4 linked regions of the Arabidopsis thaliana genome follow. The protein of the gene in region 2 interacts with the protein of the main gene of each other region in a biochemical or structural test. Each region holds a gene or a part of one and is shown on either strand. Other genes may lie near its edges. The genes, in order: BZR1, RCN1, CHIP and PHOT2.

Evidence for each region.
Region 1: of the proteins of RCN1 (region 2) and BZR1, one has a biochemical effect on the other in vitro, tested with the Arabidopsis thaliana proteins (one study listed by BioGRID).
Region 3: of the proteins of RCN1 (region 2) and CHIP, one has a biochemical effect on the other in vitro, tested with the Arabidopsis thaliana proteins (one study listed by BioGRID).
Region 4: the proteins of RCN1 (region 2) and PHOT2 form a complex in vitro, tested with the Arabidopsis thaliana proteins (one study listed by BioGRID).

What each region holds. Positions count from the first base shown.
Region 1 is NC_003070.9:28,182,117-28,189,859, reverse strand, and holds BZR1 (Brassinosteroid signaling positive regulator (BZR1) family protein), read right to left. Parts: upstream 4,357-7,743; 5' UTR 4,152-4,356; coding exon 3,885-4,151; intron 3,541-3,884; coding exon 2,797-3,540; 3' UTR 2,715-2,796; exon of another isoform or gene 2,450-2,714; intron 2,414-2,449; exon of another isoform or gene 2,214-2,413; coding exon of another isoform or gene 1,893-2,213; 3' UTR 1,814-1,892; downstream 1-1,813. Other genes in the region: AT1G75090 (DNA glycosylase superfamily protein), read left to right, coding at 248-632, 1,452-1,593, 1,672-1,813, 1,893-2,213; AT1G75060 (histone deacetylase complex subunit), read left to right, coding at 6,575-6,799, 7,523-7,655.
Region 2 is NC_003070.9:8,947,973-8,956,818, reverse strand, and holds RCN1 (ARM repeat superfamily protein), read right to left. Parts: upstream 5,658-8,846; 5' UTR 5,509-5,657; intron 5,146-5,508; 5' UTR 5,120-5,145; coding exon 4,727-5,119; intron 4,633-4,726; coding exon 4,386-4,632; intron 4,190-4,385; coding exon 4,077-4,189; intron 3,944-4,076; coding exon 3,864-3,943; intron 3,643-3,863; coding exon 3,501-3,642; intron 3,418-3,500; coding exon 3,337-3,417; intron 3,155-3,336; coding exon 3,050-3,154; intron 2,965-3,049; coding exon 2,782-2,964; intron 2,701-2,781; coding exon 2,608-2,700; intron 2,438-2,607; coding exon 2,298-2,437; intron 2,199-2,297; coding exon 2,132-2,198; intron 2,043-2,131; coding exon 1,920-2,042; 3' UTR 1,659-1,919; downstream 1-1,658. Other genes in the region: AT1G25500 (Plasma-membrane choline transporter family protein), read left to right, coding at 52-235, 350-577, 663-779, 878-1,111, 1,203-1,382; AT1G25480 (aluminum activated malate transporter family protein), read right to left, coding at 5,943-6,557, 6,844-6,990, 7,084-7,220, 7,320-7,589, 7,691-7,828, 8,013-8,352. UniProt on the Arabidopsis thaliana protein: The A subunit of protein phosphatase 2A serves as a scaffolding molecule to coordinate the assembly of the catalytic subunit and a variable regulatory B subunit. Seems to act as a positive regulator of PP2A catalytic activity.
Region 3 is NC_003074.8:2,355,711-2,363,216, forward strand, and holds CHIP (carboxyl terminus of HSC70-interacting protein), read right to left. Parts: upstream 4,840-7,506; 5' UTR 4,592-4,839; coding exon 4,487-4,591; intron 4,182-4,486; coding exon 4,114-4,181; intron 4,005-4,113; coding exon 3,941-4,004; intron 3,785-3,940; coding exon 3,713-3,784; intron 3,411-3,712; coding exon 3,277-3,410; intron 3,187-3,276; coding exon 3,033-3,186; intron 2,948-3,032; coding exon 2,837-2,947; intron 2,742-2,836; coding exon 2,613-2,741; 3' UTR 2,197-2,612; downstream 1-2,196. Other genes in the region: PUB9 (plant U-box 9), read left to right, coding at 1-903; AT3G07380 (glycosyltransferase family protein (DUF23)), read right to left, coding at 5,614-5,749, 6,132-6,304. UniProt on the Arabidopsis thaliana protein: Has E3 ubiquitin-protein ligase activity and may target misfolded substrates towards proteasomal degradation. Regulates the activity of some serine/threonine-protein phosphatases by E3 ubiquitin-protein ligase activity.
Region 4 is NC_003076.8:23,521,159-23,528,487, forward strand, and holds the start of PHOT2 (phototropin 2), read left to right. Parts: upstream 1-2,666; 5' UTR 2,667-2,935; intron 2,936-2,971; exon of another isoform or gene 2,972-3,052; 5' UTR 3,053-3,387; exon of another isoform or gene 3,388-3,564; 5' UTR 3,565-3,612; coding exon 3,613-4,121; intron 4,122-4,244; coding exon 4,245-4,427; intron 4,428-4,508; coding exon 4,509-4,600; intron 4,601-4,726; coding exon 4,727-4,934; intron 4,935-5,336; coding exon 5,337-5,553; intron 5,554-5,715; coding exon 5,716-5,786; intron 5,787-5,915; coding exon 5,916-6,022; intron 6,023-6,108; coding exon 6,109-6,158; intron 6,159-6,248; coding exon 6,249-6,353; intron 6,354-6,433; coding exon 6,434-6,493; intron 6,494-6,568; coding exon 6,569-6,658; intron 6,659-6,733; coding exon 6,734-6,810; intron 6,811-6,907; coding exon 6,908-6,992; intron 6,993-7,088; coding exon 7,089-7,169; intron 7,170-7,248; coding exon 7,249-7,329. Other genes in the region: ROS3 (RNA-binding (RRM/RBD/RNP motifs) family protein), read right to left, coding at 32-1,549, 1,647-1,991, 2,091-2,270, 2,405-2,608. UniProt on the Arabidopsis thaliana protein: Protein kinase that acts as a blue light photoreceptor in a signal-transduction pathway for photo-induced movements.

The sequences.
Region 1 (7,743 bases), about 19 Mb from region 2:
AAACCAACAAGGATTAAACAGAAAATTAACCGACACGTAAGCAATAATCACCGGCTATGACCGGTTTACATGCTTTCTTTATCTGTTACCGTTCTACAGTTTTTAAAAACCTTCGTTAAGCTCTTTCATACTCTGTTCCATCTCTCTCTCTCTTTCTCACTGATCTCATTTCATTCCTTATCTTTCCAATTTTACCCTCACGTTACCTTCGAATTCTCCATCTCCTACCATTCAAAGCTTCTCTCAGATGTCTATAGTCTCTAAGCTTCGTTCTCCGGTTAAACCAATAGATGAGTCACGAGCTATCCTCTGTTCGACCGGGAACAGATTTAAGGTTACGAAAACAGAAATGACGAAGAAGCCACAACTGAATCCACGAGTGACGAAATCTCCGGCGACGAAGAAGCCCGATTCCAATTTCTCAGTTTCGACTGATGATTCCTCTTCTTCTTCTTCATCCTCGGAACGTTCGTCAGTGAACACGACAAACTCTGGGAAAGTAACCACTCCGTCGAAACGGAACGGAGTTGAGAAGCTCAATAATGTCGTTGCCTCCGTCGCCGTCGTTGAAGACATTAGTCCTAAAATTCCGGGACCGGTCAAGAGATGCCACTGGATCACACCTAATTCAGGTCTCTTTGTCTGACACCTTTTTTTTTCCCTCTTTGCCTCATTTAACTTTAATTTAAATTCACATTTTTTCTCTCATTTATTTAGAGAAAATTCTGTTTTTTACCTCTGAATTTCGTGAATAACGAGGAAGTATATAATCCATCTGTTACTTTTTGTTTGATCTTTTAGAAAATACACAAATATTAAGAAAACATAATAAATGTTGCATTTAAATGTATTATTTTTTGTGATTTACAATTTTCAATAACTTTAAACCAATGATATTCACTAATTTGTGTTGAAGTTTACAATTTATCAATTATAACTAATAACTATTGTATTGAAAATCTAAAAAATTAATCTTTTTGAAACAATTTTTTTTTCTAAACAATCAAACAAAAAGGAACGAGGGAGTATATTTTTAAAGAATAAAACAAAATATTAGTTTTTAGGTTTTATTGTTAGGAATAAAATGTTTTACACTATGTAGAGACTTGTTGTCCTTGTCACAACATTTAATGAATCTGCAAAGAATTAAAAGATACTTACCAAATTTCTTCGTTTTTGGCCCCAATAAAATATCTCAATCGACTTTATAAATTGATGCCATGTGAATGGCTTTTTATGGTTTTCGAAATGTAATTTTGTTTTGATAATACGTTAAAGTTAATAAAGGTTACAATCAGTTTTCATAGATGTCAACAACACATTAATTGCACCTAGCAAAAACTAGGTATTGTAGTTGATAAATAAGGACAAAAAAAAATGTAGAAGATGATTGATGACATTGGATATGTAAGTTTTTCAGTTAATAATAATAATGGTGATTGATCAAACAGACCCGATCTATGTTTTGTTCCACGACGAGGAATGGGGTGTTCCAGTTCGTGATGACAAGAAACTCTTCGAGCTACTTGTCTTCTCACAAGCTTTGGCTGAGTTTAGCTGGCCTTCAATCCTACGCAGAAGAGACGACTTTAGGTAAACTTAGGACGGTGAATTTGCTATTTTGTGTTTTGGTTTGGTGTGATATCAGAAGTTTTGGTTTCTTTTTTGTAGGAAGCTCTTTGAAGAGTTTGATCCTTCAGCTATAGCACAATTCACAGAGAAGAGGTTGATGTCTCTTAGAGTTAATGGGTGTCTAATTCTATCCGAACAGAAACTGCGAGCAATTGTAGAGAACGCGAAATCTGTTCTCAAGGTAGGCACTGTGTGTTTTGCTATGAAATTGTAGATACTATGTGTTTACTGAAATAGCTTTGGTTGTAATCTGAAAACAGGTCAAGCAGGAATTTGGATCGTTCAGTAATTATTGTTGGAGATTTGTGAACCACAAGCCATTAAGAAATGGCTATCGATATGGTCGTCAAGTACCGGTTAAGTCCCCAAAGGCAGAGTACATTAGCAAAGATATGATGCAGAGAGGGTTTCGCTGCGTTGGTCCTACTGTTATGTATTCCTTCTTGCAGGCCTCTGGCATTGTTAATGATCATCTCACAGCTTGTTTCAGATACCAAGAATGTAATGTTGAGACTGAGAGAGAAACAAAAAGCCATGAGACTGAAACCAAACTGGATCTGCATTCTCCATTACTTGTTTGATCAGAAACAGGGATTGGACTATTAAGAAGATGAGTGACCAGTGTTTGTATTCGTTATGGAATGTACCATTTGTAGCTAGCTGTGTTCATTGATTATGCTACTATCCTAGCTAGCTTTGTCTAACTAGATATTTGATGATGTGTTAGTGTTTGACCAAAAGATTGATTGCAGGGAAATAAAGAATTTAACATTTTGTAAAAGCAAATGTTTTTGCAAATTTTGGATCTTGATGCTAAGAGACAGAATCGGCTCAAGAAATGATATATGACTAAGCAATTTGACAAGACACAAGACAGTTTCAAGCCACTAATTAATGTAACATATGTAAGGAAACAGAATCATACATCTTAAGATTTTTTTATCTACAAATAATGCTTTTGAAACCAAATTCATGAATTGAATAACCACTCTAACACTCCAATGCTTCCATGGAGAAGGCTTTGGGCAGCATATTTGGATAATAAGTGAAGAACATATGAGATTCCATAAAGATCCAAATACCTGGACGAAGAAGAAAATACTCAAGAGGATTAGTTTCTCATATTCCAATGACATGCCATTTGGGTTTGCCTAGTTGTTTATGTCAACCACGAGCCTTCCCATTTCCAAGTGTAAGCTCAAGATCCTCCATACCCACATCATGTATCCTCTCTCCTTCCCAGGGTTTAACTTGGCTATTCTCAAATTTAAACTCAGAGCTTTGACCAATCTCTTGGAAGGCAGCAGTATTTGGAGACATCTGCTGAGGCGCAGGTTTCACAAGATTGAAGGTAGGAGAGGTTGGCACCATAGAGGCAGAGAATGGCTGTTGTTGTGCAAACTTCTGAAAGCTTATCCAATGACCAGAATCAACAGTGGAAGAGTCAGACTCATCACATTCAGGTATAGTAGCCGGGGTATGAAACTGGTGGCGATGTGTCGGACTAGCAGGTGCAGAAACCGCATAGAAAGGATAATTAAAAGACGCCATTGATTGTTTAGCAATGGCCATGGATTGCTTAGCGATAGATTCCCAGTTAGGCAACGGTTTCGGGTTCTTAGAAGTCGGCGATGAGACCGGTGGGGTAACTGGACAACTGTTTGAGATTCTGAGGGAAGGAAGAGAAGAAGGAATGCCACCATTTCTGAGGAAAGGGAAGAATGTAGAGGACATGTTGTTATTTGGTTCACCGCGAGAAGGACTCGGGAATGATGAAGAAGACGGGCTAACTTGGTAAGATGGGATGGGACTTTGAAAGGCTGATGAAAGAGGGCTCTGGTTCTGTGATGAATATGGAGTTACTCGAGATGAAGTCCCAGCTATCTCACCAGGTAAAGGCTTGCATCCCTGATACTCCAACAAAAGCAAAACAATAACCAATCAAACATCAATCAATCACAGGTAAGCAAAAGAAACACAATGCAATGACTTTGGACCAAGTATCATACATAAAAGATTAAGACTTTAGCATACCAATAATAACTCTAAAATTAGAAAGAAAACCCATAAATTCACTTTGAGAAATCAGATCCATCCATAGTTTCTGATGATTCAAATTCACTTTGAGAAAACCCTCAAATTCTCAGATTCAAACCCATTTAACCACAATTGAAATCAACGAATTCAGATTCAAACATCAAAAACATCAATAAAACAAGCTCAGATCTGGAAAAAATGGAGAAAGTCTTCACCTTGCGATAAGTAGTACCATCTTCTTCAACAACCCAACCAGCTTCAACACAAAGAGCTTTAAGGACTTCATTATTATCACAATGTTTAGGCAAATTATAATCACCTTGAGCTCTAAGCCCAGTGTATATCTTCGCAGCTACAGCTCTTCTCCGTCTTTCTCTCCTCCGATTATTCTCCCTTTCTCTCCACGACGGCTTCCTCCTCGCCGCTGCTGCCGCCGCCGCAGCTGCAGCTGCTGATGTCGACGTAGCTCCATCCGAAGTCATCGGGAAAACCAACAACCAACCCCTCGAAACTTCCGGAGAGAGCTTTGAATAGGTGGGTGAAAGATTGTGTGAACGTAGACTGATGAAGAAGAAGAAGAGAGGAGTGAGAAGTTAGTGCTCACGAGGAATACGCTTTTCCTTCGCTGGAATCGAAGAAGAAGAATCTCTCTTTCTTCTCCAACAAATAATAATATTTTTTTCATCTAATGTAAAAATTGGGTCGTGTGTGTGTTCAAGTACATTGAGTTCATATTAAGAATCATTGTTCTTGTGTATCGATCGTCCACGTGTAAATACATGGTTTTGGAAGGGTGAGATTACGTGAGGTGAATATAAGAGGTGTATGTTAAGGTGCAGAGGATAACTACGCTTAGTAACGTGTGTTTATGTTCTAATCTTTTTTTTTTTCTGTGAGTATGTAAAATGAGTAATGACCAAATAATACAGAGAAAAGAAAGGAGGAGACACAGTGGGACCGTTTCTTCAGTGTGGGTCCCTTACTTGTGTGACCGAAAAACACACCATTTGATTGGTTTTTAAAATTTTATTTTATACAGTGAAGCCGTGTGATTAACATCATAATGATATATTCAATTAAAAATTATCACTTTTTTCTTGCATACAAATCTCACTTTAGAAACAATTTTGACTACTTTTGTCCTGATTAGTTGTATGTACACTGGCTCTCTCTTTTTTTTACCTTCTTCGTACCTTACAAATGATATAAAGATTGGTGAATACCATTTACTATGTTCTATAAAGTATTTAGTTTGGTTACATGTTGATTTTAAGCTTTAGTATCTAATATCCAAATTTTGGATTAATTGCTGGGTCCATCATTATTTATGTATTCATAACCAAAACTTGTATAGTTCATTGAACATAAAAGGAAAAAGGGGTTTACGAGTTTGTCCCATAACAAGGTTCGGCGGCATATATGATGTATGATCATGTAATATTTTTGGATTATGACGTTTATTTTGTAGAAAGTGCAGGAGCATGTAACTAATGTCTTAAAAGCAGAGGAACCCGAACCATCAACGCGAGTTGGGAAACATTTGGAATGAATCAGAGGGTTCGATGAATTAGGCAAAACTAAAGTAATCGCCGTTGCCGGGGATCGAACCCGGGTCACCCGCGTGACAGGCGGGAATACTTACCACTATACTACAACGACTTTGTTGCTAATCGAGCGATTATGTGTTAATTATTGGTGATACGTTTTAAATCATCAGTTAAATCTTAATACCAGCTTTCGTTTCTAGCATTAAAAGGAATTTAGGGGTTTTCTTCTTTGGTTTGGCACTAGTAACCTACTTGTGATAATAAGTAGATTATGTGTTAAGTATGTTTTTTTTGGAAATATGTTCTGTTTTTCCGATTAACTCCATGTTACCTAGCTAACTCGTTTTGGACAATAAGTACATTACTTTAAACCATCAAACTTACAAAATGCTATGTCTTGAACAAGAAAAAATGTTGGCTTAAGAATCACTCCATGAACATTGTTTTAGTTTAGTTAAATGTTCAATATGGACATTATACGATGACATATTTAATAGAGGCGTGATTTCAAATTCAAATTACATTGGAGAGGAACGAAAACAAATAAACAATAGGGGTATAATCGTAACTTACGCATGCATGGGCCCCATAACTCCTGACTTTTTTTTTATTTTGAAAAAACCCAGTCAACCATTCATATTCACGTCGATCGCGTGTAGACATTACACAAAATTTACGAAGTGTGGCCCTCGTTTTCCTTTTTTGATCATTTTAAAACCCTCTAAAAGCATCAATCTCAGATTCCAATACAAATTAGTACCCAAAATGTTTCATACAAATTAACCAAACGTATCCACTCCTTTCTTTTTTGTTTCAATTTCGTTTTTACAAAATCTAAATCTTCACAACCAAGACAAGACAAGTAATACAGTGAATAAAGAGTAAAAAGTAATACAAGTTTTCCAACAAATGAATTCATCTTTATTAGAGAGTAAAAAGTAAAAAAGCTCTCGGTAAAAAACAAAAAAAGGTTTTGGTACCCATCCATGAAAAAACCGCTCAATTTCCACAGTGCAAATGATACAAGTACAAAACACACGTGTTGATACCTTATTGGTCACGATAGGAAGGCGGTCGCTATCGCCTATCGTCCCTTCCCTTCCCTCCTCTGTATCTCTATCTTTCTCTCTCTTACTCATCATAATACACTCTGCTTTTTCCTCTTTCTTCTCTCACTCTTACTCTGTCTTTCTTCATCAGACCAAAAACAAACCCTAATTTCTCAGCTCGATTTCTCTCTTACTCCATTTCTCAATCCTTCACAAAATGCACCAACTTCCATTTCCGAGATCGTAAAAAAGCTTGTGGTACTTTCTGATAATAGAGAGGGAAAAAACGAGAGAGAGAGAAAACACAAAATGCTGGAAGCTCCGGTGAACAAGTCAAGCATCCTCAATGGAGGAGGAGGAGGATTCTCTCAGCTACAGAGTTGCTTCGGCGATTGCAGTAGCGAAGAAGAATTGTCAGTGTTGCCACGTCATACCAAAGTTGTCGTTACTGGAAACAACCGTACCAAATCTGTTCTCGTCGGTCTTCAAGGCGTCGTTAAGAAAGCCGTCGGACTCGGTGGTTGGCATTGGCTGGTGAGCAAAGATCAACTTCGCTTTCTTCTTTACCTCGTTTTGTCTTTTTTGCATCTTTGTGTCTGTCTGTGTTTTTATTCCCCCAGTAGAGTAGATTTTTAAAAACTGATTAACAAAAGATCCAGAATCATTAGCTCAATAATGCAATAAAATCAATGGTTGTTCTATGTTACCGATTAGATTGATTGTTCTTAAAATATCATAACTTTATTTTGTTAAATTGCATCATAACGATCTGCACTTTTTATATTTATTTTTAACTTTTGTGTTACTTTTTCTCAATCAATTCCTTGAGAATCCTTATCTTTGTGGGTTCAAGCTGGCTTTTAGATTTGTTTTACTTGTAGTCACTAATTTTGATATACTTTAATTAATAATATTTAGGGTTTTTGTTCTTTCTTTTTCAGATTGGTCATTTTCATCCACTGAAAAATGTTAAACTTTTTATAGATGTTCTCCGTTTCATTAGGCTTCCTAGTTTTTATATTATCAATTTTACTTTCTTTGATCCTTTTTTGATCATTTCTCTAGCTATACAATAAAAATCAGTATCTTATACGATTTCCTCATAACCCAAAGCATCATTTTTTTTTTTACTAATATCGATATCAAATTCCACCACTTCTTGTCTCCAACCATTCCCATTTCTCAAAAAGTCCCAAACTTTACTTTGTTTGTGGAGTTCAATTTTTAATCTTTGTCCTTTTTGCTTTAAATTTTCAGGTTTTGACTAATGGAATTGAAGTGAAGTTGCAGAGGAATGCGCTTAGTGTTCTTGAACATCCTACAGGGAACGAAGAAGACAATGATCTTGAAGTCGACCATTCTACACAGTGGAATCATCCCTCCGATATGAGTAAGTTTGGTTCCTTGTCTCTGCAATAAAGTACCAAATTTTAGTCTTTTTGAAATGTTTCATAAAGACCGTTCTTTGATTGTCTTTT
Region 2 (8,846 bases):
TCAAATGGCAACAACTTTTTAGTTCTGATGATTTGAGTTGTTCATGTGTAGACTTCCTTTCACAATGCTGGTCCTACGGAAAGCGCTGAAATTAGTCTGGGGACTTCCTAAGGTGATAATGGTGGCACATGCTTTCACAGTAGTCATGCTTTTGTGGATGTCTCTATGGTCTTTTGGAGCAGCTGGTGTTGTGGCATCGAGCATGGGCGATGAGGGACGATGGTGGCTTCTTGTGGTGAGCTGGCAAGTTTTGCATTTTTACTCACGGTTTCTGTTTTCTGCTTTAAGTGTCTGAAAGTAAACATGTTTAGAATTCACTCAATCATTGGAACATATAATATATATGCAGGTTCTTTCGGTTAGCTTATTCTGGACAGGCGCTGTGCTATGTAACACTGTCCATGTTATAGTTTCTGGGATGGTGTTTCATGTTCTCTTTCACTGTGGTCAAGAAGAGTCATCATCGTTGCCTCCTAGCTCTTTGGTAGACTCACTTAGGTATGCCGTGACAACATCTTTTGGGAGCATATGTTACGGTTCACTCTTCACTGCTGCCATTAGAACACTTCGCTGGGAGGTAGTCTCCAGCATCCTTTGCTGTTCGTAAAACATTATCATTGCTCCTCTTGTTAATAACATTAGTCTGCAACTTTCTTTTGCAGATAAGGGGATTCCGGTCCAAGATTTGTGGAAACGAATGTTTACTTTGCTGCGTTGATTTCCTGTTTCATCTAGTTGAAACACTAGTTCGTTTTTTTAACAAGTATGCATACGTCCAGGTATATATATAAATATAGACAGTTTTTAAACAAGCTCATCATCTCCCTCCTATGAGCAATGAGACTCAGAATGAAAAAAACGTTTGGTTAATTATCAGATTGCAGTGTATGGAAAAGGATTCAACAAATCAGCAAGAGACGCATGGGAATTGTTTCAGTCGACAGGTGTAGAGGCACTTGTTGCATATGACTGCTCTGGTGCTGTACTTCTGATGGGAACCATCTTTGGAGGACTCATCACAGGCTCTTGCATTGGTATATGGGCTTGGATCAAGTACAGTGACCGAGTTATAATGGTTGCATCTACGGCTATGTTGATGGGAATGGTTCTTGTGAGTTTTCTTTTGTGCACTCTTTTAGTCACCCAAAAAATTACATGACCAACTTGTTCACTTTGTTTCATTGATCCAATGTGGTGTTCAGGTGGGTTTAGGAATGGTGGTAGTCGAAAGCGCTGTGACATCGATATACATATGTTTTGCTGAAGATCCTTTGTTGATTCAGAGATGGGATGCTGATTTCTACACTGAGATGTCTGAGGTGCTTCACCGTCGTCTCCAACATCGTAGCTCGCGAGCCCGTGAAGTTTTGACGACCGCTTGATTAGCCTATGCCTCCTCTTGGAAAATAGGAGATATAACTGTAGAATATTATGCTATTAGAGGGTGCTAAAAGCGGGCTAACCCTTGTGGCTAAAATTATTTTGTCAAATGATTTATGCTTTCTATTTGTTGAATCATGAATAGGAGGCTGTGGGCGTTTGTATCAAAATCTAATGTATTGATTTTTGTGTTTATTAGAAAAACAAAATCAATTGAATAGAACAAAGTTGATCTAGAGGGGTTGGATAAAGTTTGAAACAAGAACTAGTCAGAAGACCAAACATAGCCACACGCATTTCACTCTATCTCAAATAGTTTCACTAAGGGAGTAGTGTTAGCATTAGTAAACTAAGAAGAATGTATAAGGTTTGGAACAACAGAAAGTGTAAAAAAGGTAATACAATTTTACTAACAAAAATAGTTGCAGTTCATAGCCAGCAACCAAAATGGCGTTTTACACAAACAAACCAAATAAATTGCAGAGAACACGAATAATAGAAACTTAACTTAACGATCATACATATGAAAAAAAAACAATTCAGGATTGTGCTGCTGTGGAACCATCGATGGAATTAAGTGCTTGATTTGCAAAATAACGAACATCAACATCAGGGTCTTCGCTCAGGTCCACCAAACACTGACGGATTGTTTTGTCCACCACCTACAAATTTTTGACACGGCAAAAACATTAAAATTCAACAATTTCCATTAGTTTTCGATATAACTGAGTTATGTTTGTTATGATCGTACTGATTGGTCGACTATGGGGATGAGGGATTGCAGAAGTTTGGCAACGTTGAACTTGATGTTTGGAACTCTGCAGAGATAAGAGGTGTGCAACAACAACACATTAAAAACTAAGAAGTGTTCTTAAACTAGTTTGGCTTATTCATATCCTCTAATCTATCTATTGTACCTGTCTTTTGATGCTTCAACAACCACAGGAAGAAACTTAGAGCATGTGATTTCTGATCCCATTACAGGCGCCATGAGAGATATTGCGCGTAGAACCATCATCCTGTGTAGGTAGTGCGGATTGTTGACCATGTCCAATACCTGTTTATATGATAAAGGTCAATCTGGAGATCTCAATATTTGCAGCTTTAGTGATATCCAAAGAAAAGGGACCAAAGCTGGAGATTAGATGTTATAGGTGAGGTACTTGACATAGATCAACAATAAGATAAACAGACAGATGGTTTTAGTATAAAATGCTCAAAGAATACCTGGGGAACTAAGTGCTGCATTGCCCATTCAGGACCAAACTCCTCTGCGAGGCGCTTTAGGTTGTTTGCTGCAGCTTCGCGGATAGAGTAGACCTGAAGGAGGAGAACAGTGTCAATATCTACAATAACAAGTGAATGAGAAATTTATGCAAACATCAAAGATTCAAGGTAAACCTTGTCTTGCAGCCATTGCATGCAAAGGGCTCCGAGCTTGTCATCGAAAAATCCTATACCTAACTGGCTGGCCAACAGTGGAACATACTCTATTATTGCAAGTCGGACTCTCCAGTGCCGATCCTCAGCAAGTTCTACAATGGCCGGTAACAAGGATTGAGATAGTAGATCAATTCCAATAACCTGCCGTAAAAGATAATTCAGTCACCAACTAAATAAGGAAGCAATAAAAGTAGTATCTAAAGCACACAAGAGAGATGCAACAAACCTGGTTGACTTGATCTAACTTGCTTATGATGTTAAGGCGCACATCAGGAAATTCATCTTTCAAAAGGGAAAGAAAAATTGGTAACAGATGCTCAATGGTTGAGTCCTGTATTGAAAGATTTTAGTATGTTAATAATTTTTTGATAAGGTCTGCAACACCAGTTGGGGCTGGTATAACCACGCCATAACACAAGGTATGGCTGATTTTGTTGATGAAAACCATAAAACAAATTAAATCTCAGAACATTGTCACAAGATGCGAAAATGTTGGCTATCTTCAGTTCATACCTTCCCAAGGATAGGAGCCATCCCCATTATTACTGAAGCTAGAGCAGAGCGGACATGTTGAGAAGAATCCGATGATAATTCCTGCCAGACATCAGTATGTATCAGAATATTACGAGACAGGGGACATCAAACAACTCGTTTATATAGAATTTAAGGAGTCTTACCTTCACACAAGGAAGGATGTGCTGAATCGCAAGCTCTGGATTCAAAAGCCGACAGAACTTGGTCACTTTTCCCGCTGCTGCTATTCGCACTTCAGCCTCATTGTCCCTTAGCAATCTCACATATGCTGGAACCAAATCCGTCCTAGAGATATTATAACATAAATTGTGTCAAAATAAAAAGATACATGTACAAACATAGAACTACCATGGAAGGCTCTTATATGAACGAAAAAGAATAAAGAAAACTTCCAATAGACGCTCTTAGATGCATATTTGTTTGAAGGTCACAAAACTGTTTTACGAGAACGAAAGCCTAGATTAGCAAGGATGACAAAAAAATCAACAATGTCACAAAACACATACCTCGTGCAATCAGGACCCACTGCCTCACAAAGTTCATATAGCTGATTAGCAACCATGTAGCGCACCCTCCAAGATTTATCCTGCTCTCAGAAATCAATACAAACACCATAGAAAAACATCAGAACAGCAAGCTTTTACCGATGAAAATTAAACATGGAACAGCAGACAATTAACTGAAAAATCCATGAATGAAAAAAACAAAGCTCAATTCACCTGAGAGAAATTAACAATAACAGGTAAAATGCGTGCAACACAATCCTGAGGTTCCAACAACTTTCCAAGAGCTGCACACCCTTCAACAGCCAATAGTCTCACAGAATCTTGGTCTGAAATGAAGGTTAAAGTTTAACCAATATAAGCACAGATAAAACAAACATTTCTGAAGAGGTAAGTATCCAATATATTTCATCAAACAGCGTTTATTAATTCAAATGTGATCTCTTTACCATACTCTTGGGTCTATGCAAACTATTTCTAAGTGATGAGCACATATAAAGTACGATATATTCAAACATTAAGTACCATCTTTAGTAAGATCATCGAACATAGTCATGATCTCAGCAATCAAAAAGGTAGACTCGACAGTTGTAGCAAATTTCCCCAGGTTAGATGCAGCAGCTCTTCGCACCATTGGCATATCATCTTTGCACAACTGGCTATAAGTAGCCCGTAACTCAGTCTTCAACACATCAGTGCAACCTTGGTATGCAACATGAAATATACCACATGCAGAAACTCTTGCTGCAAACCATTCACCACCCGCTAACCTCTACAAGACAAACAACAAAACAAAAAAAAAAGCTTTGATTGAACCAACTAACAAAACGGCGTAATCTAGTGCTACATAAATCTCCTAAACTAACCTTCACAAGAGGAACAAAAGATTCAACAAGATCATTCTCTTTCATCTGAGATCCAATCTTACAAAGCGATTCCACAGCTTTTTCTCTCACACAAGTCTCTTCAACAGTACATAGAGATTCCAAAGGAGGAAGAAGAACATGCGCAAACTCAATTCCTCCAACAAACGGAATAAAAACTCCTAACTCCTCAGCCATTGCAAGAAGCACCTCATCGTCATCGTCACTATTCTCACTCAAAAAAGGGATTAACTCCTTCCTTGTACGCTCCTCTCCAAGAGCACGAGCTATAGTAGATAAGCGACGGATCGAGTTCAAACGAAGCTGAATATCATCATTCTTAAGCTCATCTATAAGCACAGCAATGGGATACAACGGTTCATCTACCATAGCCATCTTATGTGAAAGTTCGAATCAAATCACTGCAACACCAAAAATAATTCCTATGAGCTCATTGCTATAAGAGACGAAACAATAGATATTTTCGGATCTCGAATAAAATATTTAGTAATAAATACGAGAAATCATTTACAGATCCTGGGAAAAAACAATTATAGCCACTCGAGTGTTATCTTCGGCTTTATTGATTTTTCTCTACTTGCACAAACAGATTAAGACTATACTGCAGATTTTGAAACGAATCGGGTATGAATAAAACAGAAGAAGCGAGAAATGGGTTCAGATTCACCGGTTCGAAGTTGGATTAAAGGGAATGTGAATCGGAAAATGAAGGTTTAGAGATGAGATCTTATGATTCGTTAAGAAGAAACTGGAAATCAACTTACCGATCCAGGCGTCGGAGAAGAACTGCTTCAGATTCCCAGGAGCGAGAAAAGGTGAGAAAGAGGAATTCGCGAGCGAGAAAAATAATATTCTGCGTTTGATTTTTTTTTACGAAGGATTTATTAAAGGGAAAGATATAAAATGACGAAAGTGTCTAATTGGGCCATTTTGGGCTTTCTTAGGATTGGGTTATGTTGGGCTTTAATCAATTTTTTGCTTTAAAAAATTAAACAGTTGATTCAATTGATACAATGAAAGAAAAACAAAACTTTCCAATTGAGTTTATGACTTTGCCAAAACAAAACAAAAAGGAATTAGGAACTTATTTCAAGACAGCAAACAAACAAAGCAATAATGTATATAATTTTCTATACAAAATCAACTATATCCCTGGAGCTGAAGCAGCTACTGAGTCTGGTCCAGAGTCCAGCTTTTTCTATATCCGTGTCTCGCTAACTTGTTCTTTGAAATCGGCTTTAGTGCTTAGTTCCTCATACGCGTTAACAATATTTTGGAGCCTTGCAACAAACTCGATCAAAAGAGACGCAAATGTAGCTAGCGACAAAGAACTCGCACTTTCATATACTTTGGATTCTATCTCATTGATCATAGAACCGCCTATGAAAGAGACGCTTGGCCAGTTTTCGCGGTTCCTAAGCATCATACTCTCTGTTGATATCCATAGCTGAGAATCATTACCAGCGTGTTGATTCTGATGATGAGGGTTGTTGTTATTGTCCCATATCTGGCTGAGGGATTGAATCACTTTAGACTCGTCGTCTTTGGCTTCGTGATAGTTTTGTTGCGCTTCTTCAGCTTCGGCTTTCTCTTTCATAGCAGCCCAGCTTTCTGAGTTGACAAGTAGGAAGGAGTTACTGTCTATTTTCATCTGTAGTTCCTCTGCTGCTCTTTGAACATCCTTGAGAACGTTCCCTGGGCTTAGCTTCTCCATTTTCTCCACCTTTTCTCCAAACAACCTCAAGACTTTGGCTCCTTCGTTTCCAACTCTTTGAAGTTCTTGACGAAAAGCCTGCCTTTTTTCTGGAGCTGCCTGCAAATCCCACACCAATTGATATCACAAGTCTTATAGGGCATACGACAAGCATTGAACTCAAAGAAAACCATTCACTAGTAACAACAGTAAACTAGGAGATCCCACTTTGCACCTACTCAACAATTATATGACAAATATCCGACTTCTCAGAGTAACAGTCTAGTTAATCACGAAGAGGTACTAGTAGCATTTGAAGCAGGTTGGTATAGTCTCTAATAACCATTATAGCACCTCATTTGCTATGATAGATAAAGTTGTATTTAACAAGAATATGGTAAGTTACCTGAATTTCCGAAAGAATGCAGCCATGCATTGCCATGACCATGAAAGCGCAGTGCCTTACTGCGCCACTAAGTTTGACGTAGTTTGCCCATGGATGGTGGAAAGTCTTATATGGTCCATGTGGAGGCTCCCATACTGCAAAATCAAGCTGAGGAAAAAAGAGGTCATCGTATCTTATCATCTAAATCCTTTTCAAGTTATCTAGTTGCTGCTCAACAAAAGTGTCCTAAGGAAAACACACCAGAGAATCTTCTTGGCTCGTAGATTGGACTACAGACCTGTATCCACTGTATAATGGATCATCCGAAGCTTGGTAAGTGAGAATCTTCGAAGGAATCCTCTCGTATTCAACACATTGCAAGTACCCATTAACACATCCTGAAAGTTTTAGGAAAGCACAAACAAAACAAGACATAAAAAAACAGCCAAAACCCGAAACGAAACAAGAGAAAACAGCCATTTGACGTATCTCTCTACCTTCAAGTGAATTGGCCACACTTTTGAAATTCTTAACAACTAGTTTATGGAGGTCTTCTCCAGCCCAAATGGGAAGTATAAATATGTTCACACCCAAACAGATACCAGCACCAACCAGGATAAGCAAAAACCTATAATAAGCAGTGCTAAAAAAATCTCTAGAGTTGTTTCCAGACACAAGAACAATACAGTATGTCAACAAAAACACCCTGAATGCATATTCATACGACTTCATCGCCGGGTATAGTTTCAAATAACTTGCAGAAAAACCTGATAGACAAACCAACAGATTCACAAGTATCAAAAATAAAGTTAGTATGTTTATTTAAAAAAGGTTCATTTCTAATAAAAATTGAGAGAAATAGTGCAACCTGCAATGAAAATACTGATAATGATAATGAGTTCTTCAAATTCTCCAGCTGAAACAGAGAGTCTAGCTATGCCAAGAGCAAGTCCTCCAGCAGAGAGTGTTCCTATAGCTCTATTAAATCCTTTGACCAATGTTGCTCCTTCAAAAAACAGAGTTAGAGCCAAATTAGATCTCTGAAGACAAGTAATCCTAAGACAGATCTAATGAGAATTTAGATCGAAGAAGACGAAAGTTTTGATTTTTAATCAAAATCCGGAAGATTTGATCGAACAACAACAACCCCAGAATCGATCTGAATCTATAGAATTCGTGAGTCACAGTACCTATACTATACTCAAAGACGACGACAACAGTAAGGATCGCCCAAACAGCATACTTGCTAGCGTCACGGAGTGGTTCTTTAAGGTAGATGACGAAAGAACAGAGTGCGAGAGCCATCCCCATCTTAACGGAGAAGTAAACTTTCCGACGATCGGAACGACCCATCTCGTATAATTTAGCACCGATGTCGTATAAAGCTTTCCAGGAAGCAGTGATCCCGTCGGAGCAAAATCGGAAACACCGGAACTTGGAACGACGGTCATCGATGATGTTTGAATCATTGAATCCGAAATCTGAGCAAGCTTTTCGAGAGAGAAAGGCTTCTCTAGTTTGGTCAGCCATTTGCGTTGATTTCTTCTTCCAAAAGATCACGATTTCATAAACTGAGAGTGAGATGAGATGGTTCGATCAGATGGATCCCACTTTAGAAGAAACCTTAATTATAGTGGGGTCCTGTAATGAAAAGGGGTGAATCATGTTTAGAAAGATTCCGAAGCTATAAGACAACATATAATTTAATTAGTAATAGTATATGATTTTCATTTGTAGAGCAAAAAACAACATGATTTGGCCGTCCATAAAAGATGTTTCTTGTTCTATATGTATATTGTTTCTTACGAAATTTTAAATATTTGAATTTGAACTCATTTAAAGAAATTTGGAAGTAGTCAAATCATAAAAATTTGTATTTTTAAGGACATTGAAAAGTACGATATTTTTTCTTTCTTACCAATATTAGGCATATCACAATTTTTTTATTTTATTAAATCATTGTTTTGCTAAAAAAAAATCAAGCAAAAATAACTATCAATTGAAGAGTAGAGTTTAAAAAATAG
Region 3 (7,506 bases), on a different chromosome or scaffold from region 2:
GAAACTGTGACAAGATCAGATCGTGAGATTTTCAATTCCTTGCTCTGTAAAGTCTCTTCTTCGAACCTTCAAGATCAAAAATCAGCTGCCAAGGAGCTAAGACTTCTGACCAGGAAAGGCACTGAGTTCCGAGCTCTTTTTGGCGAATCTCCGGATGAGATCACCAGGTTGGTGAATCCCTTGTTACACGGGTCAAACCCAGATGAGAAGCTTCAAGAAGATGTGGTTACAACATTGTTGAACATATCAATACATGATGACAGCAACAAGAAGCTCGTCTGCGAAAATCCTAATGTGATTCCTCTCCTTATCGATGCATTGAGGCGTGGAACAGTCGCCACGAGAAGCAATGCAGCTGCAGCGATCTTCACTCTGTCAGCTCTCGATTCAAACAAAGTACTTATAGGGAAGTCCGGAATCCTGAAACCGCTTATCGATCTCCTAGAAGAAGGGAATCCATTAGCTATCAAAGACGTAGCTGCAGCGATCTTCACTCTTTGTATAGCCCATGAGAACAGGAGTAGAGCTGTGAGAGACGGAGCTGTTAGGGTTTTAGGTAAGAAAATCTCGAATGGGTTGTACGTTGATGAGCTTTTAGCTATATTGGCAATGCTTGTTACTCACTGGAAGGCTGTGGAGGAATTGGGTGAGCTCGGTGGGGTTTCATGGTTGCTGAAGATAACTCGAGAGAGCGAGTGCAAGCGAAACAAAGAGAATGCGATAGTGATACTGCATACTATATGTTTCAGCGACAGGACAAAGTGGAAGGAGATCAAAGAAGAGGAGAATGCTCATGGAACGATAACAAAGCTTTCGCGTGAAGGAACTTCAAGGGCGCAGAGGAAAGCAAACGGGATATTGGACAGACTGAGAAAAGCTATGAATCTCACTCATACAGCCTGAGAAAAGCCTTGAAATCTGCAATGTAAATTACCTAAAATCTTGTTTCTTTTTTTTACTTTATTTGGCTGTAAGAATTTTTGTAAATTATTCATATCTTTAGGATCTGAATGGTTATTGGTTTTCGTATGTGAGATGTAAGTAGAAATCTGTGTGAATAGTTTTTGCGTTTGATGTTTCTGGAGAAATCAATCAATAAAATCAATGTTGGTGGCTTTATTCAGCTGTGAAAGCCTTGGTCAACAAGTAACAGTGTGTAGCTTTTCGTCTGTTTCTGTGTATAAATAAGTAGATTATTAAAAATACATAGAAAGGCTGTCATGTCGTGTTCCTCACATCACTGATAAACCACAAAGCAAATCAATCTAATTCCACTCTCTCTGGAAAAAGAGTTTATTACAGAGTCACGAGTTTTCCATTGATGTGATTTTTTCTCTATGTAATGTAACGTGACGATGTGATTCCTATTGTCGTGTTAGAAAAAAACAGTACTTTTAAGTTTATTTATATATAAATAAATACTCATCAAAGCTTATAAATAAATTTCGACTATCACTGATGAATTATAAGTTTTGTTAGAAAACATAACGGAGTAGTTTTGTAATATATTTCTAAAAAATGTTCTAGACAAGGCAAGAAGCATGTAAGTAATGATAAAAATCACATGTATTTGGTTGGTTGGATTGCTTGGAAGTTAGAATTGAATCACGAAATTGCTAAAACTCGTGATTCGTAATAATTACAGGTCAACATATCGTGAGAAAGTTGAAAAAATGGAATATTTAATAGAGAGGATAGAATATGGATTCGTCCTAAACCACTCTTTGGTGTTATTCCTCACCAAACTTTCACAGAAAAGCCAAGAAAAGAAAGAATTTGATGCTTTCTTTTTAACTTTTTATCCCCAAGAAGTAACGTTTACAATTCATTGGATACAAAAAAAGAAATAAATCCCATAAAGGAAGAAAAAGAATCGTAATAATCCACAACCACAATGGTGGGTTTACCTTTTATGTGTCCCCAGTGGAAATCATATAGATAAAGAAAATAGTAGTTTTATTTCTATTTAAAAGACCCCAAGATTTACGCCTTATTAGGCAGAATTCATTCAATACTTTGAATACCTTATGATGGCCCATGTCTTTTGCTTTCTTTCAACTTTGATGAACATTCAACTAAATCATTGTTTTTCTACACTATTGCATGACAACTTTTTGTTTTTATATTGAATTTTCAGGCTTTCAGTTTTATTTTAGATGATTAATCACACAATCCAGATTTTTTTCATGGCACAGAACCGGAGTGGTCCAAGAAGGTTTCAAAAAATACTTAAGCATGCCTTGGACTACATCCTAATGAGATACAATTCATCAATCTTGTTGACGTCAGAGAACTGCATCTAAATCTGTCTGTTATTGGGCTTTTCTCAATGATAAACAATATCTGTATGTATGTTATTGGGCTTTCCTCAATAGTAAATAAATTCTGTATGTGTGTTATATAGGCTAAGCCATATGGCCAATGTGTACAGAGTGCACAAAAAAACATTGTAATATATACACAGGGCAGAGAATCTTACACTGAAAACATCGGCAACAACAAACACAAATGTGAAAAAAGGTAAACGCACCCATCTGTTTTGTTCGGTCACCTGAGTAGTTAACCTCAATTTCTCATCCGCTTCATTGTGTTTATGTTAATCCCCATTTCGATCAACAACCCATCTTGTAAGCCCAGACGTGTTTTTCTAGATATGCTGCCACTGCCTCTTTGATAGCCAGATTTGGAACGAGATTAGCCGGGTCGATTTTTTCACGAGTTATAGGATCAAACTTCCCCACCTATCAAGTGGTGTAAACGATCAAACCTTAACAGGAATGAGGAATATTTTTTATAGAGATTAAGGCTACAAGAAAAGAGCGATGATAATGCAAACCTTCTTGAGATGTTCAAGGATTGCTGCTCTTTCATATGTAACCCCACTTGGAGAAATTACAGGATCTCGGAAAATCTCAAGAGTTATATTGCAACATAAATAATCTGGCACCTGAAAAGAAAAACCAGAAATGTATTTGACCTCAAATATAAATGAACGATGGGTCTTAAAAGCTTTTAAAGAAAATTTAATGCACCTCAGTTGGTTTATCTTCTTCTGCAGCTTTCTTAAACACTCGTTCAAGAGCTTTCAAACGCTCAGTATGGGCAGTATATGCTTCGTCTGAGGACTCTTCTGTTCGAGACATATCTAAAGCACGTTGTTGATTAAGAGCAGCCTCACAAGTTTCCCTAACACAAACATGAATAGTTCCATAAAGCCACAAAAGCACAGTTCCAAGTCGAATGATAGCACTGGATTAAGAAAGTTACAGAACCTACTTCAAACTATTCAGTTCCCATGACCGCATTGCAGAAACCAGTTCCCACTCCATGTATTTTGCTTTAGAAAGCTCTTCCCATATTTCTTCTACCATATATCCTGTTGGATTCGAGCATCTTCCAAGATCTAAAGCCTATATGAAACGTAGCTACATGAAGTTAACAGGAAACAGGTATCAAACCAAAATTTGTTTGCAGTATTTGATGGCATAAACAAACCAACCCATCTCTAGTGATTTTTCTAACTAAAACAAGTGTCCACAGTATCCACTTAGACATCTTTCAAAAGGAAAAAGATGGAGATTCAAGTGGTGCCTCACATCTTCATTAAGATGCTTGGAAACTACACTACTTAGGTCTCAACGTTACGACTTAAACAATCATGTCCACTGATAAATTTTACAGAAAAAAGCTTAGGACTAACAAAGATCCTTACCCTTTGCAATTCTTTGACTCCATTAGTAAATTCTTTCTTCTGCAATAATGCAAGTCCTAGCATGTAGTGTGCCTGCCACAGAACATAATTGTAAAATCCTCATATGATGGAGAAGAAAGGATCAAAGAAGGCCAAGAAAAGATAAAACAAAACAAAAAACTTGACATATTCCATACATAGCACACCAAGCAAAAGAATTCCATTTAGATATAATCAAAAGAGTCAAACCTTGACGGAATTGTGGACAAGCTGAATAGCTTTGCGACAATCCTCTTCAACCTTAGTCCAATCCCTAAATTTGATGCAAGCAAAGAAGCCAAACATGAACCATAAAGTATTTGGGCATTAGGATTGCCTAATCAGAAGTATGTATAAAATTTGCTTGACAGAACAATACTCACTTTCGCTTCATGTGGCAAAGTGCTCGATTGGTCCAATAAGCAGGAACATTTGGAGACAAAGCTATTGCCTACTCAATTACACAAAAAAAAAATGATAAGAAAAACCACTACAATTGAATAAGCCTGAAGTTTCTTGATGACTTATAACGATGAGCACATAAAAGATTCATAAATTCCATCAAATGTCTATTCTCGAATTGTACACTCCATCAAAACCTAATTTGGATGCAATTAAGTTCTGATTCACAAACGAATTGTCCAATTTCGAAATTATAATCAAGGGTTTATTACTCTACGCAGATCTCAATCAAAATCTCGGAAAACACAAAACCCTAACGATGAAATTGAGAGAAGGAGAGTGAGAACCATGTACCTCGGTATAAGCATCAATGGCAGCACCAAAACGTTCTTTCTTAAAGCAATTGTTTCCGTCTTCCTTTAACCGCTCCGCCATGGCGGAAGCCACGCCTGTAACCATATCTACGGCACCCCAGAAAACCAAGTCTTTATCCTTTCCAACACTCCTCTGTAACTTGTGCGACGGCGCGTCCCGGTGCGTTTCAGAAGAGAAGTAGCCGCGAAATTTCTCGATGAAAGGAGAGAGAAAAGTAAGCAAAAGGGAATTTTAAATGAATCGGTTATCGAAAGAGATTAGTCTCTTTACCGGGTCAGCTCGATGAGACTTGGATCATAATCCGGATCTTATAGTCATTCTTTTTGTTTACTACCATAAACCGGTCATTGGGTTAATTGTAAATTATTTATACAACTAGGATTAAACCCGCGGTTTCCCGTCGCGCGAAGGCTTTTATAAATTTTTTATTAAATAAATTAGTGTGTGTTATATTAAAAAATAGTAACATATATTTAGTTTTTTTAAAACTGGTATAAATAATGATTGGAATCTTTTATTAGTATGGAGACTATTTACTGATTAGAATCATGTATTTTATTGTGTTTAAAGTTGTGTATCAATTACTAAATGTGTATTTGATATAAGTAAAATGGTGACAAAAATATAATATAATGATAGATGGTGTAATTATTTTGTTGATTATAAGATCTTTAAAAACCAAAGTTGGTATGTTTTATCTTTTATTTTTGGCAAAACAAAGATAATAACATTTATGAGGAGACCTTTTTTCTAAATCATACAGAATATTTATACTAAAGAGTATTTTGAAGCTGTATTAATGATCCCATTACCCAAATTATATGATACAATAAAAGAATATACCCCCAAAAGAAAACAATGCAAAGTAAATCATCTTAACACCTAATTCTTCTTTCTAAAGATTGATTAGATTCACTATTCATGTTTTTCATCTCTTCATTGTCTTGTCCGTAGCAGCCGATCACCAATCGTTCTCAACTCGAACGTTCTCACAGCAAGGCCAACATCACGGATTGTAGTGTCTAGCACATAAGGAGTGCGTGCTCGCGGCGCTGAGAGATCGAACCATGGTAATGGAAGTAACGGATTTTGCTCTCAGCCTTGTGCTATGTCTTCCCTTGTAGATTCTGAGACATGTGTACGCCTATCGCGAATACATTCTCCGGCTGGACCGCGTATTTCCGATCCCGTCTTGGAACCTTCTTGACGTCTCTATATGCCAGTTTCTCAATTCCCCATTTTCTGAAACACAAAACCAAAATACCATTTAGATTAGTCCCTGAACTAAACCAAATCAATAACCGATATGTTCCCTCCTAAAAACAGAAAATATACAAACCAATTACAATTCAATATTTGGTACAAACAAAAGAAATAATCTTTACAACATTTCTCACTAATATCATGTGATGTTCAATAAAAGCAAAGATCGTGACCGACATAGGAGACTAATACAGAATGCACAAAGACTTTTACAGGCCAAGTGTTGACAGAATCAGATGCTTATTGATATTATATGTCACCTTCAAAAAACTTGTGACTAATATTCTAAGTCACTCAATAAACAACACATGGGCTTTGGTTAACGTTCAATCATTAAAATCAACAAAGTTATGAATGTTACCTGTAAGTTCTGGCCGGGCCATCACCGGAATAACAAACCTGACTACTCATAGGCATCAGTTCAATAGTAAACTGAAAATATTCCTCCAAAGATTCCATCACAGACGAAATCGTCTCTTTCACCGGAACATGTAAAAACTCATCAACATCAACGAAGAACATCCACTTCGTCATGAATACTTATGCAAACAATCATTCACTATCATGAATTGATTATGATAATAACCATCGAATCGTTCTTGATCTCAATTTGGTTTGTGATGAGAATGACTTTGATATTTATAGTGATGAAGGAGGCTAGGGTTGTTGGATCTAATATTTTCAAAAATATTCGAAAATATCTTGCAGGATAAGTTGCAAATCAAAGATTGGATCCTCACTAATGATTCGAATTTGGTTTAGTTCATAATGATTGGCTATATTTAGATAAGTGGTAAATATTGTTTAGTTGATTATGGTTAGTTTTAAATTTAAGAGAATAAATTTATAAGATTTTTTTCTAATTTATGGAATGTATTATCGTGTTATGGTAGTTAGAAGAATCGAATAAACTCGTCTATGCCGATTTTATAGTGATTAGTGAGGAGGGTGAATATATGATTGAAGATTCTTAAAATCGTAATTAAATATGCAGACTATTTTGATGGAATATGCGTGTATTAGATACTAAAAATTGTTGAGATATACAACTAATCGTGTTATGGCTAAGATTGCATTACTTGATGGTAACCCATTATGTAGTTTTACATGTGATCAAAAGCCCATTAAACATAACTCACCCGTCTATGTAAAACGCGGATCCTGTTTAATTTAATTATTTGGTTTGGACGATTTTACCCTTGATAAGGAAGAACAAAATTCAAAATTGAAATCAAAATTGAGGCTAAATTAGACAAAAATTCAATTTGTACTTCTCTTTTAATAATAAGAGGATATCTATCTACCATATTCAATAAAACGAATCTTATCAATCCAAGTTGTAGAAATTTTAATGCAGTCAAACAATATTTATTTATCCTTTTTAATTTGGTCAAAGAAAAATATAATTATCTTATTAATTGAATTTGGATGCACTCTTCTATCATATTTAGACAATTTAAAGTAGATGATAAAAAAATTGATTTGATTAGTTTCAAACATTTGTGCCAGTACATTTCAAGAGAGTTAACACATGATGCTAATCCCAAGACAAAATAATCAAAATCTTCAAAAACAGACATTTAAAGGTAAAAGTAATCTCTTTCTCATTTTTAGTGAGCTGCTGGTAAGATATACTGTGATGGAACCAGGTGACGTGAGGGGAGAACTCGACGTTCAATATTTTGAGAATGTCTATAAATGAGAGCCCAACACAGATATGGGCCCAAAGCCATTAG
Region 4 (7,329 bases), on a different chromosome or scaffold from region 2:
CATAATTTGAAGAGCCTCTGATAGTATTAACTCATTCTTCGCTATTTTTCTTTCTCCTGGGCTCACTCAATGCCTTCTTAGCCTTTGCCCACTCTTTCAAAGAAGTCGAGCTTCTCATAAATGTGCAAGTATCCCCCGACCCAACCTTTCTCTTAATTATCTTCTTCTTCGCACCCAATTTAGCTCCTTCACTCACATTCTTACCATTCAGACGCTGCCGATTCTCATCTAAACTTCTCACAGGGGTACTATCCACAGGGACTCCCGCAGCCACAAAACCACCGCTGCTAGATGCGTAATCTGTTTGTTTCATTGCACTTGCAGTCTGGTTAGAGTTGGAGAACTGGTTTCCTACATTGTTGATCACTCCAGCTGCTTCGCCCTTGTCTGAAGTTAAATCTGGGAAGAGTTGAGTTATACTGAATGAAGAAGTATTTTTGTCGCTAACCAGCTGAGTCCACGAAGCCTTCTGAAGCCATGAAGAACCTCCTGTTGACTTGTTACTAGCTTTCAGCGGTCCTTTACCCGCCTCTTCTTCATCTACAACATTTTCCTTCACGACTAAGCTTTCCTTTTCTGCATTCAAATCCTCTGCTACATTTTCATGCTTCTCCACATTCGACTTGCCGTCCACACTATCGCCCTCTGTGTTTGCAACAAATTCCAGGGGGACAGCTTCAACACTTGTGTCACTAACAGTATCTGCAAGTGATCCTGAGTCGTCTGAACCTACATCGTCATTAGCTGTGTCATCGCACATAGAGTCAATAGCTGTGTCATCTTCCACATTATCACCATCATCGCTCTCAGCCATAGAGTTACTAACTGTGTCATCGGCCATAGAGTCAATAGCAGTGTCATTTTCCACAGCATCCCCATCATCACTCTCAGCCACAGAGTCACTAGCTGGGTCATCTGCCATAGAGTCAATAGCTGTGTCATCTTCCACAGCATCACTATCATCCCTCTCAGCCACAGAGTCACTAGCTGTGTCATCTGCCATAGATTCACAAGCTGTGTAATATTCCACAGCATCACTATCATCCCTCTCTATGTCATCTGCCATTGTGTCACTATCATCCCTCTTTATGTCATCTGATACAGGTAAATCCTCTGCCATGATTGTAGACGTTACACGCTTTCTTTTCGTCTTCTTCTTCAAATTTTCTCGGCTAGGAAGCCCAGCAAGATCAGTGTTGCGTGGTGCAGGTTGTACTGCTTTACTGGAGCCAACACCTGGCAAGAAACTGGATACACTAAAATCATTGCTGTTCCCATTTGCCATAAGTGATTTCCAGGAAGACTTTTGGGACCAGGAAATATTGTCGATTGACTGCTCAAGATCTTTTGTTCTGCTCGGTTCATCCGATGATTTATCTGGTACCACTTCAGAAGGCTTCTTCTTTCCACGTATGGCCTGTGAAGATTCCTGTCTTCCAGTTTCCTCTAGGCTGATTGTTTGCCTATTCTTGCTTGGATGAGTAAGGTTCCCTTTTCGTCCTTCACTATATCCTTCTTCACTTGGTGTTTTTTTGTTGAGAATTGATTTCTGAGTTACAATCAAAGAAAGAGCCAGATCAGGGATGAGGTAGATGACTCATTATTGGGTTAAGTATAATAGAAAAAATATAAGTAGCACTACGTACCCGTTTTCTAGACAACATATCCAGCGCTGAGTCCATATCATTGCCACTAGATGCCACATTGATGATGAGGTTATCTTGGTCTGCTTCAATCTCATTGTCTTCTTCGGGGTCCACATTGTTTTTCTCAAAGAGCTTATTCATCACCGAGTTCATAACATTCACCTCGGCTTCTTGTCTTCCCACATTAACCGCTTCCAGATCATGAAGATGTATTTCCCGAGGAGTGAGAGAGCTGTTAGAGTGCTCTTCACAATCACAAAAGCTCCTTGGAAGAGAAGACGACACTGGAACACGCTGAAAGCTATACTTATGTTTACCAGTTCCACTAAGTGGCATAGGTTTCACCTGCACCACACATACGTAGCTCAAACCCTAATCTCTTACTACTCCTAGTACTAACTATGTCATATAAATGTTACAACTTTGAAGGAGCATTAGTAGTACCTTTCTGAGTCTGGGAAAGAAGATGTTAAGGTGAGTGGCAGGTGGTGAATCGGAGGGAGCTTTAATGGTGTTATCAGAGGTAGAAGACGCTGCCTCCCACTCTCGCTTTAAGCGAGCTAGATAATGCTCTTTTGCTTTCTCCAGTCTCAGCCTCCCTCCTTTCCAGACACATCCATTATACTGCCAAAATCGAATTAGGGTTAAGAATAACAAGAGTAAGGAGAGAGAGAGAGAGAGAGAGAGAGAGAGAGAGAGAGAGAGAGAGAGAGAGAGAGAGAGAGAGAGAGAGAGAGAGAGAGATCGAATTCACTCACTGTAGAGAAGAGCTTGGTGAGTGAATTGGTGGAAGATGGAGAGAAATCGATGTAGGCAAAGGAACGACCTTTGGTCCTGACGAATTCGACGGCATCGACGGTACCCATCGGAGAGAATATCTTGAGAAGATCATCTCTCCCGACGCTTTCTCCTAATCCGCCGACGTGAAGCCTAACGCCGCCGCCGCTGCTTTTTTCCTCCATTGCTGCTTGCTTCAGTTGGATTCAGTTTTCCCTCGCCTCTCCCTCACTTTCCTTACTTCTTAATCTTAACTAATAAGGCCCATTAGAGAAGACCCACTAGGACTTAATGGGCTTTTAGCGGGAAAATAATAAGGCCTAACAAGTTTTTAGGGGTCCCTTCTCTTTAATTTCATCGACATTATTTGAAACAGACAGTGAAAGAAGAAACAAATTGTGGATTCGTCGTCTGCGAAAGCATCTGGGAGAGAAGAAGCCACAGTCATTTTCTTAAACGTGTTCATTTTTCGTCTAATCAAATCATGGCGCATGTTCTGTTCTACTACAATCGTAAGTTTACTGGGTTTTATCTATTTATTGTTTATTCATTTTACATTGAAACATGTCTGAATTATTGTACTGGAAAAATTGATGTGAGGGGTGTAATAAATTCGTTTGATTATGAAGAAAATTTGTGAAAGAAGAGGGAATGATGAACAAGAGTGCACGTATTAAGAGGAAACAGAGTTGTGTGGTCCTTGACCTTGAGGGTGAAAAAGGGTCCATGTGAGTTTGATTATTGATAGCGATGTCTATCCTCCCAGGCTTCCGCATCGCTCATTTGCAGCCTCAGAAACATGATTGTCTTTTTAAAATAACTCAAATAATAATATAACTGGGTTTTGGAAACAGTACAGTTGTGTTTTTTAATTGGTCTATCTCTCTATCTTTCTCATCGTCTTTGCTCCTTTTAAAGACTGTGTACTATATTTCCATGAGTTGCAGCTGATAAAGCTACTCTGGTTGGTATATATATATTTTTCATTTATTTTATCTACTTCACCTTCTTTAACGTGTTTTGTTGATTTGCTTCTAAAGACTTTTAATGGCATTTATTACTTTGTTTCTCGAACCTACAGTTGTGTCTGCCTCTTCTTTCTATCTAACTTGTCTATGTGGTGTCTGGTTTTGATTTGCAGACTATTCATTACTCTGTTTCGCCATAAGAAAGAGAATAAAGAAACGTTATGGAGAGGCCAAGAGCCCCTCCATCTCCTTTGAATGATGCGGAGTCATTAAGTGAACGTAGATCTCTTGAGATTTTCAACCCTTCGAGTGGAAAAGAGACACATGGATCAACTTCTTCTTCTTCAAAGCCTCCTCTTGATGGCAACAACAAAGGTAGTAGTAGTAAGTGGATGGAGTTTCAAGATTCCGCTAAGATTACAGAAAGAACCGCTGAATGGGGATTGTCAGCTGTTAAGCCGGATTCGGGAGACGATGGCATTAGTTTCAAGCTGTCCAGTGAAGTGGAACGAAGCAAGAACATGTCTAGGAGGTCATCCGAAGAATCTACATCTTCTGAATCAGGGGCCTTCCCTAGAGTATCCCAGGAGCTCAAAACTGCTCTATCCACGTTGCAGCAGACTTTTGTTGTCTCTGACGCTACACAGCCTCACTGTCCCATAGTCTATGCCAGCAGTGGATTCTTTACCATGACTGGTTATTCTTCCAAGGAAATTGTTGGAAGAAACTGGTACTGCTCATCTCGTATCTTGCTTCTAGTTTCATTCCCAGTTATTAGTTAGAATAATATTGCTTTTGAAACCCATGCCAACTTACTCTGAAATGCTCTTAATCTTTGTGGGTAAAACGCCAGCCGGTTTCTGCAAGGGCCAGACACCGACAAGAATGAGGTTGCCAAAATCAGAGATTGTGTCAAGAATGGAAAAAGTTACTGTGGAAGGCTGTTAAACTACAAAAAGGACGGAACTCCCTTCTGGAATCTTCTCACAGTCACTCCTATCAAGGACGACCAGGGCAATACCATCAAGTTCATTGGGTACGTCCCTTAATTCCTCCCTGTTTTTCCCTAATTAATCGACTGTCCCTCGATCAATCATTTTCACATTTCCATCTGCAGGATGCAGGTTGAAGTTAGCAAATACACAGAAGGGGTAAATGATAAAGCATTGAGGCCTAATGGACTCTCCAAATCCTTGATTCGATATGATGGTATCTGTTTTTTTGCATCTCTTCGTTAATTCAACAAGTTTTTTTTAGCCAAAAACAATGATATAATTTAGCAAAGAGTGCTGATCCACAATCTTTAACATGTAATGGTTTTGATGATGATATCAGCTCGCCAGAAGGAGAAAGCTTTGGATTCCATCACAGAGGTTGTGCAAACTATAAGACATCGTAAGTCTCAAGTTCAGGAATCCGTGAGCAATGACACTATGGTAAAGCCTGATAGTTCTACTACACCTACACCTGGTAGACAAACAAGACAGTCAGATGAGGCTTCAAAGTCTTTCAGGACACCTGGACGTGTTTCTACTCCAACGGGGTGAGTCTTCGTAACCACTAACCACCAGATTACAGTAGTCTTCCTGAACATAAAATAAGGCATATATATTGCCCAAAAAGTGTGATGGCAGTGCCAAAGTTTTGCAGAAACAACTTGCTATTATCATTGCCAAATAGTGGTAAAATATATACTACACAATCTCAATCTAGTTGTTGTGTTAGTCAATATTTAACTCATAGATAATTTCCATTCGAATACGAAGATGCAGTTGCAATCTCCTACTATTGTTCTGTTTCTTATTTCTCGTGTACTTTTGTAACTTTGTGCTGGGCCTTAGAATGTATCCTCTGACATGGATTGGGTAGTGAATTCTGAAGCTGTGTATATATATGTATACATATACACTCAAGGATTTCTGATCTAGCTTCGTGTAATGTGCAGGTCAAAGCTCAAAAGCTCGAATAACAGGCATGAAGATCTTTTACGTATGGAACCCGAAGAATTGATGTTGAGCACAGAAGTAATAGGGCAGAGGGACAGTTGGGACCTATCGGATAGAGAAAGGGATATACGCCAAGGGATTGATCTAGCTACCACTCTTGAGCGCATAGAGAAGAATTTCGTCATCAGTGATCCTCGTCTCCCTGATAATCCCATTGTATGTTTTTTCTGTCTAAAATTGAGATGAACGTTTTTTTCTCGAACCTTAATGTATCAATTGTAGAGTATATTTCATATATTGATTGTTCTTACTCAAGTGTTCTACTATGTTTGTAAGCATATAATCTTGAATTGATAATGGAAATCGTTTTATTTGCAGATCTTTGCATCAGACAGCTTTCTTGAATTGACAGAGTATTCACGCGAGGAAATATTGGGGAGAAATTGTCGGTATGTGAAAATTCTTCTTTTTGTATCTTCTACTCATGAGATTTATCATGCCTTTTAAGTTATGCAGTCTTCTCCGGCTGCGTTTTTGTTGTTTCGTGATATGGATATGTGCAAAGTGGTTGGCTTCAGGTTTCTTCAGGGGCCAGAGACAGATCAAGCGACTGTCCAGAAGATAAGAGACGCAATTAGAGATCAGAGGGAGATTACTGTGCAGTTGATAAACTACACTAAAAGCGGTAGTTATCAGATACTGAACATTTTAAAACGATCATACTGAAAAGTTTCTATGTGGTTGTGTCATTAAAACTCTAAACCATTGCAGGAAAGAAATTCTGGAACTTATTCCACTTGCAACCTATGCGTGATCAGAAGGTCTTCGTGAGATTATTGTTATATCTGGATTCCGATTCTTGAAGAAAACCGTGCATTGTTGCTGATTACATGACTTTATTCATCTATTAGGGAGAGCTTCAATACTTCATCGGTGTGCAGCTTGATGGAAGTGATCATGTAGAGCCCCTCCAAAATCGTTTGTCTGAGAGAACAGAGATGCAGAGTTCGAAATTGGTATGTGGTTCATATCCTACTGAGTTTTTTGAACATCTCTTTCCTATCAAAGGAGACTATGACATTGGTCACAATTTTAGGTGAAAGCTACGGCAACAAATGTAGATGAAGCTGTCAGAGAGCTTCCAGATGCTAATACGGTAAGGTGTACTAGTTCATTATTACTTAACAAAGATGGAAAAGTATAAATGCAATCGAATTGCAATGTATTTTAGCGGCCCGAAGACCTGTGGGCTGCACACTCGAAGCCTGTCTATCCTCTGCCTCACAATAAGGAGAGTACGTCCTGGAAAGCAATAAAAAAGGCATGCATCGAACCATGTTACTTTTTACTTGGTTTCTCATTCATCCTGTTCTTATTCTGACAGTCTCCTTTGTAGATCCAAGCGAGTGGAGAAACAGTGGGACTACATCATTTCAAACCAATAAAACCGTTGGGCTCTGGTGATACTGGCAGGTACAACATTGCATGTGTCCATAGCAATAAATTCATCTGTCCATGAATCGCCTTGTACTTCGTGTATACTTATATGGCGTTTTTTGGTTGGAAAAAGTGTCCATTTGGTTGAGCTGAAGGGCACGGGTGAACTATATGCCATGAAAGCAATGGAGAAAACAATGATGTTGAATCGTAACAAGGTATATGATGGAGAATGAGTTTCCTTTTAATAAGGAAAGCTGAAAAATTCAACATTTATATTATTTCTTTCGTTGACAACATGCAGCTTTATGCAGGCTCACCGAGCGTGCATCGAAAGGGAAATCATTTCCCTTCTGGATCATCCATTCCTTCCTACTCTCTACGCTTCTTTTCAGGTAGATGTTTTTCTGTTTTGCTTGCATCATGTCGGTTTGCCCGTTTCATTGCTCAATTGCTCTTCTTTTTCTTCCGCAGACCTCTACGCACGTCTGTTTGATTACAGACTTCTGCCCAGGTGGAGAGTTGTTTGCACTACTTGACAGACAACCTATGAAA